2 linked regions of the Drosophila melanogaster genome follow. The protein of the gene in region 1 interacts with the protein of each later gene in a pairwise test. Each region holds a gene or a part of one and is shown on either strand. Other genes may lie near its edges.

Region 1 (10,862 bases):
ATATATTATATATATATATATATATATATAATGATAAAAAGTTAGATTGGGCGTGGTTTTTTTTTGGCAAATTAATAGAAATTTAGACGTCTTATAATATTATGAAAAAATATTAAAACATTTTGCAAGAGTGTGAGCGTAGCAGTTTTGGGCGGTTTTAGGTAGTAAGCGGGGCAAAAAGTTTTTTGGCAAATCGATAGAAATATGAGAAATATTCTTGATCCAATATGTGAAGGTCTAAAAACTGTGGACGGAAAAATAATAATGTTAAAATCGTTAATCTGCATAAATACGTTGGAAATTGTGGGAGATAATATTAGGACACACATAACAGGTGAACTTTTATAAGAACACATTGTTATCTTTAAATATACACAGTAAACCCGAATATACAGAAATATTTATGATTATGATATTTATGCTTAAATACAATGATTATGTTGATCCCAAAATCTTACAACTGAAGTCTTCAAAGTGTAAGTATTATATAAATTAAAACCAAAAAGTCCCCATTACTTCTAAATAAATAATAAAAGACAAATGGTTTTCTAATTGTACTTTTAATACAAAATATACACATATGTATATATTCTTGCTTAGGATCACTTGTCGATCTTAACATAGTCCCCAGATTTCCACGTTTATACGGACGGACAGATCAAGAATATACTTGTAAGGGTCGGAAAAGTTTCTTTCTACCAGTTCTTCTTAACGAATCTAGCATATGGTGTACCATATTACTATACGAGTAGCGGGTATAATTAGATAATTACATCGACGCACTGTTACTCTGTAACAACTGTAACTGTAGAAAGATCTCAGAGGCGTACGCCGTAGTCGAAGGCCACAAGCTTTTAGTTCTAGTGACGAATTTAAAAGCACGCCGAATCCAGTGGTCTTGCGCAGTAAGCGAAAGAGAACGGACTGAAGAAGAAGCTCTCGATTTTTCCGGTAATATGCGAGGTATTGATTTTTCTATTTTCCGCTTGACATGGAGAAAACTTAAAGTTCTTTTTGAATCTATGTCCGCGGTATTTTTAAATTCTATACAATTAACTTAACCAACCATCTTAATAAGGGTAAACCAAAGACATAAGAATAACAAAAAATTTAAAAATTGGGCGTGGCAAAAAATTTATTTTGCAAATCGATAAATGTTTACACTACTAATAAAATGATGAAAAAATATCTAACAATTTTTCAAATATGTGGGCGTGGCAGTTTTGGGTGGTTTTAGGGCGTTAGGGTGGACGCGGCAAAAAGTTTTTTGTCAAATCTATAAAAAAAAATTCAAGACTAATAAAAATGTGAAGAAATATACGAATTAACAAGACTATTAAAAATATGAAAAAATATCAAAACAAATTTCAAAAGTTCCTAATATCTCAACGTTCATGCGGACAGACAGACGATTAGACGGACACGGTCAGATCGACTCGACTATTGATCCTTATGAAGAATATATATACTTTATATGGTCGGAAACGCTTTCTTAAAAAACAAAACATACATTTGTGGGCGTGGCAGGGTTGTTCGGTTTGTGAGCGTTAACGTGACCAAACCTTTTTTGGCATATTTTATTGTTTATCTTTCCCATTTCTAAAGATTTCCTACAAGAATTTCAAATTTGCTTCCCACTATCTAAATTTGTAAATTTTCCGCTAAACTAGGTTTATTTAGAAAAACTTCAATCCATTTTTATTTTTCAGCTGTTTAACATTATATGTTGTTCCAAGGCGTGAAACAAAGATTTAATACAGTAAGACAAACCGAAAAGAATTAATGTTGAAAATTCCCGTCTCTTAACGGTGTTCCACTCATTTTGGACTTACAATAGCAGTTGGAGTGCTCATAGTGCTCACGCGGACTGCCGCCTTCTAATATTCAACTGTGACACACTTGGTCTTAAGATACTCGTTAAGCGCCTCCTGACCCAAGTCCTTGCCATAACCGCTCTGCTTAAAGCCCCCAAATGGAGCAGCCACATCAGTCTTATTATATACATTGACGAACACAGTGCCGGCCTCGATGCGATCCGCAAAGTTAAGCGCTTTGCCAATATCCTTTGTAAAAACGCCACTGGCCAGGCCATACTCTGTGCGATTAGCTCGCTGCATCAATGAATCTATGTCGCTGCCATTGAACTTGGATATTATCATGATCGGTCCAAAGGACTCCTCTTGGGCAATAAACATATCGTCCGTAACGTTCGTAAACACTGTGGGAGTGAAAAAATATCCCTTGAGGTTTGGGACTCGACATCCTCCGTACACCAGCTTTGCGCCCTCGTCGACCCCACGTCTACAAAACTCCAGCAGTTTGTCAAAGTGCGCCTTGTGGTTCTGAGGCCCGTGGGCCGTCGAGCGGTCAAGTGGGTCCCCGATTGTCATGGTGCGCAAATCCTTAAGGACGCGTCGGATAAATTCGTCGTGTATCCGATCCTCCACGAAAAGCCGTCCAGCGGCGATGCAGTTCTCTCCTTTATTAAAAAACACCGAGGACATGCCCTAAATGAAAAAGAGGAAGTTACTGTTACTTATACATTGTATCGTTAGACTGTTTGGTACATTAAGCTAAGCAAGATACGATTAACCCATTATAAATAATTTTGACATACGGAATGTCCCGTATACGGTTTTCAATGAAAATACATAATATACATTTAATTAACTCGTAACAGGTATAAGTATTTAACTTTAAAGTAACATTTTTAATTATAATTTGTTATTTTTAACAGTACTTTCATTAACAAAGAAGCAGAAACAAAAGATAAACTCTATAGAATTAACTGTATGATATCGTACTAATACATTTTATATCTTTAGCCAACAGAGTTGACCGCATCAACAACATTGTTCCCAATCTAATTTAAAGCTAAATCATAAATGCTCTTTATTTATATTATTTATAGATCTTCACTCACGTGTTTGACGGCTTTGTCCATATCACAATCTGCAAAGATAATTAGCGGGCTCTTGCCGCCCAGCTCTAGGGAGCACTTTTTAAGGTTGGAGTCTGCGCATGACTTCATAATGTGCTTGCCAATGGGTGTGGACCCGGTAAACCCCAGTTTGCGGACCAGCTCATGGTCTGCCACTGCCTGGCCTGCATCTGAACCTTTTCCAGGCAGGACATTGATAACGCCGGGGGGGAATCCGGCTCGGACAGTTAGCTCTGCAAACTTTAGAGCGGTCAGGGGACAGGTCTGAGCAGGCTTTATGAGACAGGTATTCCCGGCGGCAATGCAGGCGGCCATTTTCCAGGAAAGCATCATCAGGGGGTAGTTCCAAGGCGTTATTAAACCGCATACACCAATTGGCTCCTTACGGGTGAAGGTCAGTACGTTGTTGGGTCTCGCAGGGTTAACAGGGATTGTGTTGCCCTGGATCTTGTCGCACCATCCGGCAAAGTAGCGCCACGCTTCGATGGACATTCCAACATGGGTTTTAAGGGCTAGCGTGTAAACCGCTCCCGAATCGACTGACTCAATTGTGGCCAGCTCCTCCTTATTTCGTTCCATCAGATCAGCCAAGTTCAGCATCAACTGGCCTCGTTGTCTGGGTGTTATTTGCCTCCAAGATCCATAAAAGGCAGAATGCGCTGCTCGCACTGCCTTGTCCACGTCGGTGGCCGAAGCGCATGCCACTTTGCAAAGCACTTCCTCATTAGTAGGGTTTACAATTTCCAAAGTGCGTTGAGCCTCGGCGTCAACAAACTCTCCGTTGATAAAAAGTTGTGTGGGCACTCGAATCTCTCTTTTGTTGGCTTTCAGCGTGAATGCCTCAAAATCGAGCTGCTGGTTACCGAAACCGGCACTTCCCTGTCGAAGGAACCTAACCAGCAGGCTAAAGAACTCTTCAAACACAGGCGCCATGAAAACTTGCTCGTTCTGCAGGGGCACGTCAAAGGCTTCTTTAACTTCCTCGACTAAGCGCACCACGTCCATTGAACCAGCTCCGGATGCAAAGAAATCAGTCGATGACTCGACATCTTCCTTAAGTATTGCCTTCCAAATTCCAGCCAGCAACGATCGCTTTACCAATTCGTCCTCGCTGAAGTCAGTGATAGACTGGTCCTCAGCTTGCTTAAACCACTCGCTGGCACTGATTACCTTTGTGCCACGCTTAATGCGGCGAATGTTGACAAAGGCACCGTCTGTTCCCTCTATAAGAAGACCACCGCTGTGTATCCAGGCGGTCTTTGTTAAGCCTCTTAGACGAAGAACCTTTCCATTCGACACGGGGCCAGCAGAGTACAAATGAGCACCAAAGAGTCGAATTTGCTCCTCTGTGCCATTCCCGTGCAGAACCGTTGCTATGGCTCCAGGAACTGAGTCCAGACCACGAACAAAGTTCCAAATTTTTTCTGCTGTAGCCTGAAGATTGATAACCTGATTTTCTGTTTTAAACATAGCCGGGTCGTAGGTTGCCCCCACTTCCGGCTGAATTATCTTGGGAGCTGTACCACTAGCCACCATGTCCACGGCGACGCCCATCGCCTTCACACCTTCGGGGTACAAAAAGCGCTTGTATATGGTGTCCAGAGTGTCCGTGGATTCCACGTTTGTTTGTCGGGTTAGCAGTAGGGGTCCTGTGTCAAGACCGTCATCTGCCCAAAAGATGCTGAAGCCGGCCACCTCGTCCCCCTCGATCAGTGTCCACGATATGGCACTCGCTCCGCGGTGACGTGGGAGGATAGAAGGGTGGTAACAAATGCTGCCCAATAGCGCCCCGTTAATCACCTCCATGGGAATGAATTGAGAACAGAAGGGCAACACATTCAGGGTAGCCCCCACGGACTTGTATTGTTCCAAGACCTCAGGTAGTGCCACGCCCTTGCGACGCCAGCATGCGAACTTAAAAACAGGTATATTGTGGATGGTAGCAGTAGTAGCCAAAATATCCTCTCGACTGCCTTTATCTGGAATAGTGAAGACTCCTACAATTTGGATATTTGAGCGATCCAACAGAAGCTCCAGAACATCAGCAGCAAAATTGCTCTGTCCTATAATTGCGATTCTCATTTTTAGCTGAAAAGCGCATTGAAATAAAAAGGAACAAATTTTAGAAGGATTTTTTTCATTTGTTTGGGTTGGCTACATCAAATATTAGTTTCCCCTTAATATAAAAATTCATAAAATAGTTAAAGCTTATTAATTTGTTTGGGTTGGTATGCTATTACGAAGAAAAATAAACATTTGTTTGTTTTATTTATTTATTACCTATTATTATTTATGAATATTTCAACAAACTTTTAAAAGTTGACTCTCGTTTATCTGATAGTCGGGTAACATGACTATAGCATTCTCTCTCATTCAGAAAGGACTTATCAAAATCAGTCTTTTTAAATGTATTGCTTGCTAACATTTCAGAGTAGAGTAGAATGCTGAGCAATGGAATATGAATATGTGCAATGTAAATAGGCTAATGAAAGACGTTATTGAGACAACAATAAAGAAGGGAAAATAATAAAAATGACATGTCTTAATCGCTCGAATACCGATGATTCCAATTGATTGATTTAGCATTCGATTTAAAGTATTACAATTTCCAGGACGGTTGGGTTTTGCGATATTGGATTGTTTACAGTAATAATAAATAATTAATTGCTTTTAAGTTGTGGGTTTCACGTTTTTTGCCGTTTTATGACAAATGGCCAAATTGTTTTTGGGAAGACAGGTAGAAGGACGCGTATATATTAAGTCTTTGATCTGACCAAGTCAAGTATGAACGCTGATTTCCGAAACTATATCGCTGCGGACGGCAGTCTACGAAGGGACGAAACGCACAAAAAATTTGCGATAGCTTTGGAAAATTTATCGCTCAAAAGTTGAACAATTTTATAAATGAAATGTTTAAAGTTTTTTCGATTCATTTCGAAAAAATTAGTTGATTAACATTTAAATATTAAAGTTTTAAAGGAAATTAATAATGACTTAATCTTCCTTTGTTTTCAAGAGCATCAAACTCAACCATCCTAACACGTTTTCTATTATATTAAGGTCTGGGGATTATGGTGGCCACTTTACATTTCCATTTTGAATCCATGTTTTTACCGAACGTGCAGTGTGGATTGGGGCATTGTCGTGCTGAAAATGCCATTCTAGATTTCCAACAACGTTTTTAAAGTAGGGAAATGCAATTTTTAATAATCTATTATAATCTTTCGCGTTAATTTTTGGTGTTATAAACTGCAATTCACAGGGAACATTATAGGATATAGCGACCCATAGTATGACACCTCCAACCCGACTGTGTAAGCGGTCCAAAATGAGCTCCTCTTTACGCAAGTCATGATAGTAATGACTGTAGCCGTCTGGTCCCTCCGCATTAAATTTATTTTCGTCGGGAAATACGACATAATGCCACTCCTTAGACCAAATCATATGAGCTCGGGCAAAACTCAGGTGTGCTTTTTTTTCAAAATTTATTAAGAGGTATTTTTTTATTCAGTTTTTCGTGTTTTAAATATTTAGCTTTCTAAAGCACCCATTGAATCAATCGTGGGAATTGGAGGGTATTCGACGTATAAACCTGCGATCTTCCGTGTTAAAGATAAGGTTATTGCCACCTTTATAGTTTTTTTCCACAAGTTTTCTTGTTTTTAAAAAAATGTCCTATAGTTTTCGATCTCTGCCGTTTTTTCTGCAAGTTCACGATGAGACAGCCCGCATTTATAGAAAAATATGATTTTGAATTTTTCCAGCGAGGATAACAATTCCCATTTTTTCGCTAAATTAAAGCAACCTAATCTAATGATTCAAAATACTTGCTCAATTTTTCGCCGAAAGTAAAACAAATCAGAATTAACAAGATAAAGGTTCTTCTCAGGACCTTTTTTATCCTCAAAGAGAAAGGAATATCAGTGAACAAAAAACAAGAACATTGATAGATTTTCGTGCAATGGCAAAATACAGAACATAAGAAGAAACGGAGCCATGCAGGGGGCGCTAATCTGATGACGCGCAGTGTAAGTTTGCACGAAGAAAGTCTGATAACGAGTAATACACCAATCGAAAGAGATTTTGAAAAGAAGTTGAAAAAATTATATGTAAGTGCAAAAATTTAAAAACATATTGTGGGACTGGGGTAAAAACACAGACAAAACTATTTAAGAGTTCTTGTCGTAAATACGCGTTGAATTACACCTTATTGAAAAATCGCCAAGCGTCTAAATCTTTTAAAAGCGATGGGACTTGGAAATCGAAATTTTTGTCAGTTTTTTGTCTTTTATAGATTCGTTGTAAAGTATATAACAGGTAGAAGGAATCGTTTCCGTCCATATGAGGTATATATTCTTGATCAGGATCAATATCCGAGTCGATCTGTCCTCATCCTTCTTATATTTTTTTATTTTTTTATTGGTCGTTTGAATTTTGATCGATTTGCAACAGAAATTAGCTTTAGCTAAGCTCACTCTTACGCCCAAAAATTCCTAATTTTTTCATTATACTCTCCAATATCTATCGATATGCCAGAAAAATTATAAAATTTTCCGATCTTGCTTCCACTAGCTGAGTAACGGGTATATTATAGTCGGAGAACTCGACTATAGCATTCTCTGTTGTTGTTGTATGAAAAGCACTGGGTATGATTTTGTCGGCATTTTTTATTTGGCGACTACACAGGAGACTAATTGTACTGTAGGTAATAACGCGATGCCTCTACATACACACATGTGCATATCAATTATGTATCAAATTTCGTGGTCCGAAAGTTTATTCTTAAAGCGACTTATTTAAATCAGATGTATACTAACAGCCATTACTGGTGAATACTCTTCAGCACTTTAGAAAAAACAATATTAATCAGGTAGCTTTCAATATTGTACTCTACACTCCGTTTTCACTTGGGTATTTTCTCAGAGCCTGCAAACTATCAACTGACTTCGTGTTTACAATTCGGGCCGTATTTATACCTTGACAGCACTTGAGCACTTCATTATCGTTATCAACTATTAAAAACAAAAACCCCTAAAGTGGAAGCTCAATTCGACAAGCCGAAGCTGTTATACCCTTGCAATAACAACGGACGGACAGCTATATCGACTCAGCTGTTTATACAAATCAAGAATATATACTCTCTACAAGGGTATACAAAAACGTATGCAGCCTATTGACAATAGCTCACAAATTAAATTATAGAAACGAGCTGATAATACAGCGGGCGATAACTTCGGAAAGCGAATATGATGAGCGTACTAATAAATGTATACCTGTTACTCGTTGAGAATGGAGTATGGTGGATTCGTTAAAAAGTATGTAACAGGTACAATGGACCGTTTTCGCCGCTTTAAGGTATATATTTAACTCATCCGCATACAATTTTTAGTGAATCCTAACGTAAACCGTACAAAATCGCCAACAACACTAAAGTCTCTCTGGCGGCCACGTCGTGCTCAAGGTATTCGTAGGTGATTAAATTGTTATACCCGTTACTCGTAGAGTAAAAGGGTATACTAGATTCGTTGAAAAGTATGTAACAGGCTGAAGGAAGCGTTTCCGACTATACTAAGTTCCAGCCACATCCGTCTATCCGTATGAACGTCAAGATCTCAGGAACTATTTAAGCTAGAAGGTTGAGATTCAGCGTACAGATCTAGAAACAAAGACGCAGCGCAAAGTTTGCTGACCCATGTTGCCACTCCCACAAACCGCACAAAACTGCCAAGCCCACACTTTTTATAAATGTGTTAACGCCCTAAAACCGCCAAAACTGCAACGCCCAAATTTTTGAAAAAATTTTCGATTTTATATGGAAAAAATAATGAAATTTCGCGTTCGCATTCACACTAGCTGAGTATCTGATAGTCGGGGAACTATAGCATTATCTGATTTTTTTTTTTTTTTGGGTCATCAATATTTAAATAATAATTCGTTTTTAGAAAATTGGCGATAATAGTTAAAAGTTTGTTCCAAGTTTTTTGGAAAGTGCCATCACATCACTGCATGCTGAAATTTCAGTTTACTAAGGAAATTTATGCTTACATAGATCTATAACGTACCTTCGCACTTCTATTATCTCCATAATGGGTATCTGACAGTCGCGGCCCTCGGACCGCTTTCTCCCGTTTACGACCAGAAGGCTGGACAAAATTTTTATTGGAATTAATATTGTTCCAGTGTACAACGAAGGTATATCAATTCCATTACAAATTCAACAACACATTTATTAAATTACTCTTTCTCCTGAAAAGATTGTTTGCATTGGCATATATATATATGAGGCAGGTAATCCAAAAAGGTGGATTCCTAGGTGGTTAGCAATAACGGAACAATATTGACTGAGAAGGCAAGTTATCCGATCAATTAGAAAATTAGTAGCTCATAACGCCAAGTGGTAGAATTTAAATATTCAGGCAATATCATTTACTTACAGCATAGAGCCAGTATATTTTCAACCGTACGGCATGCTCTATTCCTTTCATCCGTACCTCAAATACTTTGCCCTTTTGGGGCTTGTGCCTTGGTCAGAGAGTTGTGCCCAATCTAAGTTCGTACAGAAAGTGTACTCAGCGATCCTAATAATTTTAAATGCAGTTCATTTCGGGATTTCAATTTATTTTCCTCAGAGTGCAGAACTATTTCTTTCTCTTATGGTTAACGTGATTGTTTTCGTAGCTAGGATTGTGTGTGTTACTGTGATTATACTTCAGGTGATGGTTCACTACGATGACTACTTCAGGTTCTGCAGAGAGATGAAGTACTTGGGACTTCGATTGCAGTGCGAACTTAAAATACATGTAGGGCGGTTAAAGTGGCAGTCGTATGCTAAAATTCTAGCACTCGGTATTGGATTTTTGGTGACGGTATTGCCATCCATCTATGTTGCTCTAAGCGGTAGCCTTCTCTACTTTTGGTCCTCCCTCCTGTCAATCCTTATTATAAGGATGCAATTCGTATTGGTTCTTTTGAACGTAGAATTGCTGGGTCACCACGTGAGTCTGTTAGGCATACGACTTCAAAACGTACTAGAGTGTCATCTGATGGGCGCCAACTGCACATTGGACGGCAATGCCAATCGGCTTTGCTCCCTAGAGTTTCTGTTAGCACTTAAGCAGAGCCATATGCAACTGCATTATCTGTTTACCCACTTCAACGATCTTTTCGGCTGGTCCATACTTGGCACCTACGTGGTTCTGTTTTCAGATAGTACCGTCAATATTTACTGGACCCAGCAGGTTCTGGTAGAGGTTTATGAATACAAATACCTTTACGCAACATTTTCCGTTTTTGTACCCTCATTCTTCAACATCTTAGTGTTTTGCCGTTGTGGAGAGTTTTGCCAACGACAGGTTATAAAAAAACAAGAAAGGAAGCTAGCTTCGGCAAGCCGAAGCTTATATACCCTTGCAACAATTTAATTTATGAAAAAAAAGAAACAATTTATGATCAAAAACAAAATCAAATATTCCCAAGGTAGCTTTATGATATTGTCGTCCGATTTTGATCAAATTCAAATCAAAAATATCTTTTGTCTAAAAACTATCAAACCATCAAATTAAGGAAGGATTTTATTTTCCATTAATTAGCTGAACTATTTTCGACTCTTCCTCTAGGTATATTCTATTGTATATTCGTTCCTGAGATGTTTATCAAAATTATATATTTTCGAATACTGGTGTATATCGAATTATAATTTTGTTTCTAATATTTTCCAAGAGGAAAATCGTCTACTTCTGATTTATACCTGCAGTTAAACTGATAGAATCGAACGGATGTGTCGAAACGGTCGAACGGTTGAAAATAATCTGACTGAAATCAATGTACCATATGCAAGGGTATACAACTGAACTTTTTTTAATATCAAAATATAAAATCCATTCACATACACACATGCATATTGTAAATTGCGTAATCATAA
Region 2 (6,954 bases), on another chromosome or scaffold:
CCACTGAAATGAAATATAAGCAAGCATTTATCTTTTTTAGACCATGCTCAAAAAAAAAAATTTTTTTTTAATTTAAAAAATGTAAGATTGAAGATTTAACGCGTTTTCTAATTATGTTAGTCAATAATAGTTCTACCCATTTTTAGACCCGTTACGCGTGGAGTAAAGGGTATTTTAAATTCGTTGAAAAGTATGTAAGTGGCAGAAGGAAGTGTTTCCGTATGTATAGTATATATATTCTTGATCAGGATCAATAGCCGAGTTGTTCCGACCCTGTCCGTCTGTCCATTTGTCCGTATGAACGCCTCGATCTCAGGAACTATAAAAGCTAGAATATTGAGATGAAGCATGCAGCTTCTAGAGACGTAGACGCAAGTTTGTTTCCAAATGTTACCACACCCACTCTAACGCTCGTCAGAGCAAATGCTGGAAAGTTAAGATTATGCAAGCAGCTCAGGTTTCTTCCTGATGTCTCTTTATTACGTCTACAAACCACCCAAAACTGCCACGCCCATATAAAAACATATAAATATTCGTATTTTTTCTTTTAAGTGGAAACATTTCTGGTCTGCATCGATACCGCGCTTATATCGATAGTTCCGCTTGCGCCTTGTGGGAGCCACTAGCCGACCGATCAGCTGTTCGCATTACACAAGCAGCCGCTCTTTTATTGGATTTCTTTTGTTTTACTTAGGCGTATTTGAATTAAAAGTGCAAAATGCCGTTCATGAAGGGCCGTGAGCCCATCCGCCGCACCCTGAAGTATCTGAATGCCGGTAAGCTGGTGCTGAAGGACAAGGTGCGCATTTTCAGCGTGAACTACAACACATATGGTGCTCATCACGCGGGCGCTCGGTAAGTTATGGCATAGAATTGTCTAATAACTGAAATATACGCTAATAAATGCAATGCGCACAGGGACTTTGTTTTCTGGAACATACCGCAGATCCAGTTCAAGAATCCCGAGGTCCAGGTGCTCACGCTGAAGAACATGACGCCCTCGCCGTTTGTGCGCTGCTACTTCGACGATGGACGCGATATGCTTATAGATTTGGACAGTCGGAATCGGAACGACATCATCGATCACCTGGTTAAGGTGGTGGGCAAAACCCGGTGAGAACACACATCAAGATTCTATTCGTGTATCACATTTTGTAGAACTATGAGTTGGGAGTTAAGAAGAAGCTAGCTCAGTTCTGATACCTTTTCAGCATCATAAGCTATAACTTAATACACATCCTATTCCATAATTTCAGGGAGCAACTGGACGCAGAGGAGCGCCTAAAGGAGAGCAAGGACAATCCGGCCAACTTTGGCTACGGATGCGGCAGGCACTGCATCTGCGAGATCCCCGGCCAGGTGCCCTGTCCCGGAACCGTGCCGCTGCCCGATCACATGCGCGGCAAGATCTTGTTCGCACCCAAATAGACGTTCGCTCTGATTGTACCTTTTTTTTTAATAAATTAATTGTAAATTACACCTGCAAGGCTCGTCTGCTGAGGTAGCGCCCTAAGTACTAATGATTTTTACAGACTAATGCGTGAGACGGTGGCAAAGTCGAGTGTGGGTCGATTGAGCCTAGTGGCGCTTGGGACGCTGCTGGTGATGATATGGAGCCGATGACTTTCCGTAGCGCTGCGAACCGTCGCGATCCTTGTTAAACTGATAGCGCTGGATGAAGGGCACGTTGGCCTCGCCCCTGCCCGCTGTATTCAGCTCGAGATTGTCGTCTGTCTGGCGCTCCAACATTTTCAGCTTGGCCTCAATGGCCCGAATGGCCTCCGTTTTGCTGACCTTCTCCTCGCGTTTACCTGTGCCCAAGGCCGGTATATCCAGGCGCGGCTTTGGCTTCTGCGTTTCATCCTATATATATATAGGAAACAGAATCGATTTGAAGTTTGGATAGCTAGCTTGGTGACTCGAAGGTCTTTGCTTACATATTTAATGTTCTTGGCCAAACGCACGGCTATCGAGCGATTTCCCACGCTGGTTCCGTCCAGTTTCAGTAGCGCATTGGTGGCTCCCTCGTTCTGGAGTGAATTTTTGGGATTGGTGAGTGGGAATAGCTAAGTAATAAATATCATTCAAGGCGGTGCAGCCACATATTTAAGCTGACTATAAAATGACAAATCCTAAAAGATAACTTTCAGCATATGTAATTGATTCTTAATATCTGGTTATTAGACAATGTTCTAAAGTTGTTGCTTGCGTATTTTCCTAGCTAAGATGTAGAAAACCATTGTACATAACAAATTCTATAGAATCTATATGATATATATACATAGTTAGTGATGTATATATGCATTTTAAAGAGTCCTTCTTCTTGAACATACTTTTCTGCAAGTCGTGTACCCTTTTGCTGTATGGGTGACAGATATAAAAATAACATAGCTGCGTTTTTAGGCTAGTGCATCTGCGAGTATAGATACAGAGTTCGCCGCACTGCATAAATGAGCTTGAGAATACTGAGGATTAAATACCAAAATAGCCAAGTTAAAAAGCACAATAATCCTTGATCCTTTCTTGATTAAAGCCGCTGCACCGCCTGCCGCCAATGAGGCACTGCACCCACCTGCGCAAAGGTGACGAAGGCGTAGCCCCTGGATTGTCCCACCATGGGACCGCCCTTGTGGAACAGCATGTCGAACTTCTCGATGGCGCCGCATTTTTGCATCAGTTTGAGGAGTTGAAACCGATAGGGGGCAATGCAAATTGAACTATTAGCACCATGGAATCGCACTGCATATATGCCAGGCACAACTTACTCGGTGATCCGTGAGTCCAGATTCCCAACCCAGATGCGACGCGCCTCCTCGGGGTTTCCACCGCCGCCGCCGCCGCCGCTTAAGCCACCCGACCCACTCGTTCCGGCCTGCAAGGACATTTTGTTAACTGAAATGCGAGTGGCGAGCGTTTCTACGCGGATTTACGGACAGTGCTAGCCATTTTGTGTGCGAAAATAAATGAAAATTAAAATGCAGTCTATTGGGCTTAGGGATGTGCAAAAAGTGTGTGGAATAGTAGACATAAATATCGGTGGAATAACCGCTTCTTATCGATGGGCCAGCAAGTGCACACACCGCGCTCAGCTATTCACCACACGGTAGCCGAGAACGAAACCAAGTGAGGTGAGTTCAAATTCAAAATGTAATTGAAACTCGAGTAAAAATCTAATCAATATGTGTGCATAGAAAAATCTCTATTTTTTAATAAAATAATGGCTTCTACTTATATACTAACATATAACACATTGCTATAATATGCTGAATTATAGAAAGTTGTGCTTTAGTTATCTGTTTTTCAATAATAGATACTTTTGGAAACCATCTCTTAAAATATAAATAAGTAAAGCCGAAGAAACACTTTCCAGCCGAGGAAAAGGGCAAACGGATTCAGGCGCTCCAAAACGATATGACAAAAAGCGGACCCTGCCATGTCCTTTGAAATATGCAACAGCCGTTCTGGGGACAGGAACAGGATGGGCATGAGTTGATGGGGCCTCATGTAGACACTGCTAATGCGCATTGTATGCGATAAGTCCCGGGCCAGCTACTCTTGGCCAGAACTTTTTAACCCCCATTCCCCGCATTTTTGGAGGACAACTTCCGACATCTTCATTTCTGGACACCGACTGGATGTGTGAGTGCAAATATGCAAGCTATTTTTATGGCAAGTTGACTACGAATTGTGTAGGAATTTGGTCTCAATATGGCAAAGGGAATAAAAATGAATTTCGCGTTTTTAGCCATATATCGTATATATTGCATTTTTGCAGAGAAACCTTTTAGTTAGTTATTTGTTTGAATGCTTATAACAAATGCTATGCAACTAAATTAGTGGCTTAGCCCACGTTTTCACGAAACTCTTCCCTTTTCAAAGCATATTTTGGCAATTTATTAAAAGCTCCTTCATTTATTTTGACGTTTTGTTTCCAAAGTTTAGGTATTTCGCATATAGTTTAGTTTAGTGTTGTCGCCCATGCTCGTGCATTCCTTTGGCTTTGCAAATTACCATCGTTGTGCGAGCGAGCGCCACTAACAAGCGGAAAAGGTCCTGCAGAAGGACAACGGCACAGTGGCCATGATTTAGGGGGCGATGATAAAAAAGCTGTCGCTTGATCTCTGCCCCGCCACCATTCCACCATTTATTTAAATAATTCACCGAGACGCCGGGCTCCACGATGCATATCGAGTTTGTCCAGCCAGGACGCACTGGCATGCATATGTAAGAAGTTGCCGCTGACAGAGGTCCTTGCAGCCAGGCCAGAACACTGCGAGAAAATATGCTAGCCCAAGCACTTTTCTTACTCTAAAGATTATTTCTAAAAAATCATTAATTCCCCTTTCAATGATTTATACTGATTTATATACTTTCGATTGAGATATTTGTCTCAGAAGTTTGCTTTCAGTGCATCTCAGAAGTGCATTTTTAGTATGCATGCTGCCATTTCTATATGACATCCTGCCCTTGCCCCTTGCAACTGCCTCATTCCTATGCCAATTTTTTATGCCACAGTCCTGGGAGCAACATGTTGGTCATTTTCTGCATACGTAATTTCGCCAGCAAATCACTTGATGGCGCCAAAATGCCAATTTCGTGGGTGCAGGTCATACAAATTGCAGCGGCAGCTTTAAGTTTCTGATTTTATCACAAGCGATGTTTCTAATCCAATAACCAAAATAATTGCATTTGAAGAGCATCGACTTAAATATTGGGTATTCTCAAAAGTTTATTAACTAGATGACCCATTTGCTTTGCAGTTGTTTTTATTTCTTTTAGAATTTCTTTTAGTTTCTGTGCGAATAAAGCTAGTGCTTCCAATTATGGACTTCATCATTTCCGTGCCCGGAAAATTCTCAACGAAATGAATTTCCGCTGAGGAAATTCGGTGCTGTTTTTTTTTTTTTTATTTTGTTTTCGGTGCTATTCCCTGCATATGTCCCCACTTATCCACTGCCACGCCCTGCCCATTTGAAGCCCCTTTTCCGCCCACTTTGAAGCCACTTCCCCCTCGTCCTTTGGTCTTTTAACAATTTTTGCCTTGCGTTCACCGCGCCGGCGGCAAATTGCAAAATGGACACTATTTTTTTGGTTATGCTTTCTTTTTTTTTTTTTGGAGCATCGTTTTCTCTTTCTAGTTCATAAATATAACTGCTTTTATAAATGCACTAGATTACACTGTAAGAAAACGTTTGAAATGAATGACTTTATGAGTGCTTTCAATTTGTATTATATATACATACATGCATATTTCACTTAAAGTTAAGGCTCGTAATTAAACTCTATAAGTCTGAAGTGCCAAAACTAATATGGTGTTTATTTATATTTCTAGCCGTGCTCATAGTTTAGCTATGCCAAGATATGGCTGAGGGGGGGGGGGGGGCGTGGCACGAGTGGGGGGCGGGGGAGTAGGAGTTAGTTGAGTGGGGGTGACACGCATGCAAAACTTTGTATGGGAAGCAAACCAGTTCAAGTGCTTGGAAAAGTAAAGTCGTCTGGTGACTTAAGTTGTTATAAAAATGCAAATTTTTTACAGCTTTTGCCATTTCCTAGAGCAACATCACATCATGAAAAGGGGCGAGTGGGCGGGGCAAGTGTATGTATTTTGTACATACATACATACATATGTGTAACGATAACTACACGAAATGGTTGTAATGATTTTGTCATGGGTCCTGTGTTCTGTGGCATATAAACTAGGCTGAGAATGTACTTGAGCGGCAAGGAGCCAAAAGGACGATTTCAAAAGGAAGATTTGAAAAAGCTGAAAAAGCTGGAAAAGCCGGACATTCCAAGTACACTTCAACCGCAACTGACAGGCGAATTTGTTTGTCTGGCATAAATGATATCATTTCAATTATACGATTAAAAATTCTTAGTGCTTTCGAATTTGTGTTAATAACATTGTTAAATGTTAGTTGTTATTTTAAGAAAGCCATATGACGACTAAAATTAAGCACAAAACCAAGCTAATATATTTAATTGCAGCTTAAGTTCATGCGAGCTGCGTAATATCCACGGGAATAACTAGTTAATCTATTAATTTTAGGGCATTTGGCAGGACTTAAGCGTCGTGTAGAGTAGCCTGAAAATAGTGGGTTCCTTCTGGGAAAAGCGCAAGCAGGGGGGGGGAGGGGCACATGCAAAAGTCCTGCGTGTGTCCTGGCCAGGCTGATGTACGAGAGCATTATGCGATAAATGTGCATTTTTGTGAGTTATTCAAATTATGTAAGCGCATCGGTGTGCTTCTATCTTGGCCTGCTCCCTGCTCCCTGCCGTCGTCCTGCGTCCTTCGTCCTTCGTCCTGTGCACGGTTCATTTGTGCCAGGCCAGTGCAATTTATGACAGCGTCTGGGATCAGGACATGGAAATATGAAGGCAATAAAATGCCTTAGCCAAAAACTCTGGAACGTGAATGAAATGAAAGGCAGGACCTGTTTGCCGTTTGCTGTTAGCCATTTGCAACGGACCTAAAGGATAACGTGTTGCCATGTCCATCGAGAATGCCATGCAAATTAGTTAACAACAATTGAAGGCTGAAACGAGAAACGCAAATTGCCAGGCACTTCGTTCGAGCAGCGCTTCTGATATTTTCTTTTTTATTTAAATTCTTAGTGATTTGGGAAATTCCATGCCATAACAGCAATTTTGTTTAATAATATTTACAAGTTATTATTTAAGCAAATTGTTGGAATTTCCCATGAAAACTGCTCTTAGAATTTAGTAAATAGAAATGAACAGCAAATAGAAATACTTTTTATATTTAAATTGTATAAGCAAAACATTACTTTTTTCACATTAGGCCTTCAGTTCTATAATCGTTTGAATTAAACTAAAAATATGGTTAACGCTTTTGTTTTACTCAAGCCACTAGTCCATTTAAAATTTAAACTTTGCCATAGCAGCAATGTAATTAGAAAATTATTACTCTAATTGAATGTCGGGAAGCGCAGA

Evidence for each region. Proteins that work in one complex are often made in the same cells at the same time.
Region 2: the proteins of CG8665 (region 1) and CG14414 interact in a two-hybrid assay, tested with the Drosophila melanogaster proteins (one large-scale study listed by BioGRID).

What each region holds. Positions count from the first base shown.
Region 1 is NT_033779.5:21,368,253-21,379,114, reverse strand, and holds CG8665 (uncharacterized protein), read right to left. Parts: upstream 7,889-10,862; 5' UTR 7,765-7,888; coding exon 7,759-7,764; intron 5,030-7,758; coding exon 2,924-5,029; intron 2,508-2,923; coding exon 1,878-2,507; 3' UTR 1,120-1,877; downstream 1-1,119. Other genes in the region: Gr39b (gustatory receptor 39b), read left to right, coding at 9,409-10,293.
Region 2 is NC_004354.4:14,576,658-14,583,611, reverse strand, and holds CG14414 (uncharacterized protein), read right to left. Parts: upstream 3,013-6,954; 5' UTR 2,947-3,012; coding exon 2,935-2,946; exon of another isoform or gene 2,873-2,934; coding exon 2,766-2,872; intron 2,718-2,765; coding exon 2,573-2,717; intron 2,031-2,572; coding exon 1,938-2,030; intron 1,864-1,937; coding exon 1,579-1,863; 3' UTR 1,438-1,578; downstream 1-1,437. Other genes in the region: mRpS25 (mitochondrial ribosomal protein S25), read left to right, coding at 719-855, 919-1,113, 1,257-1,428.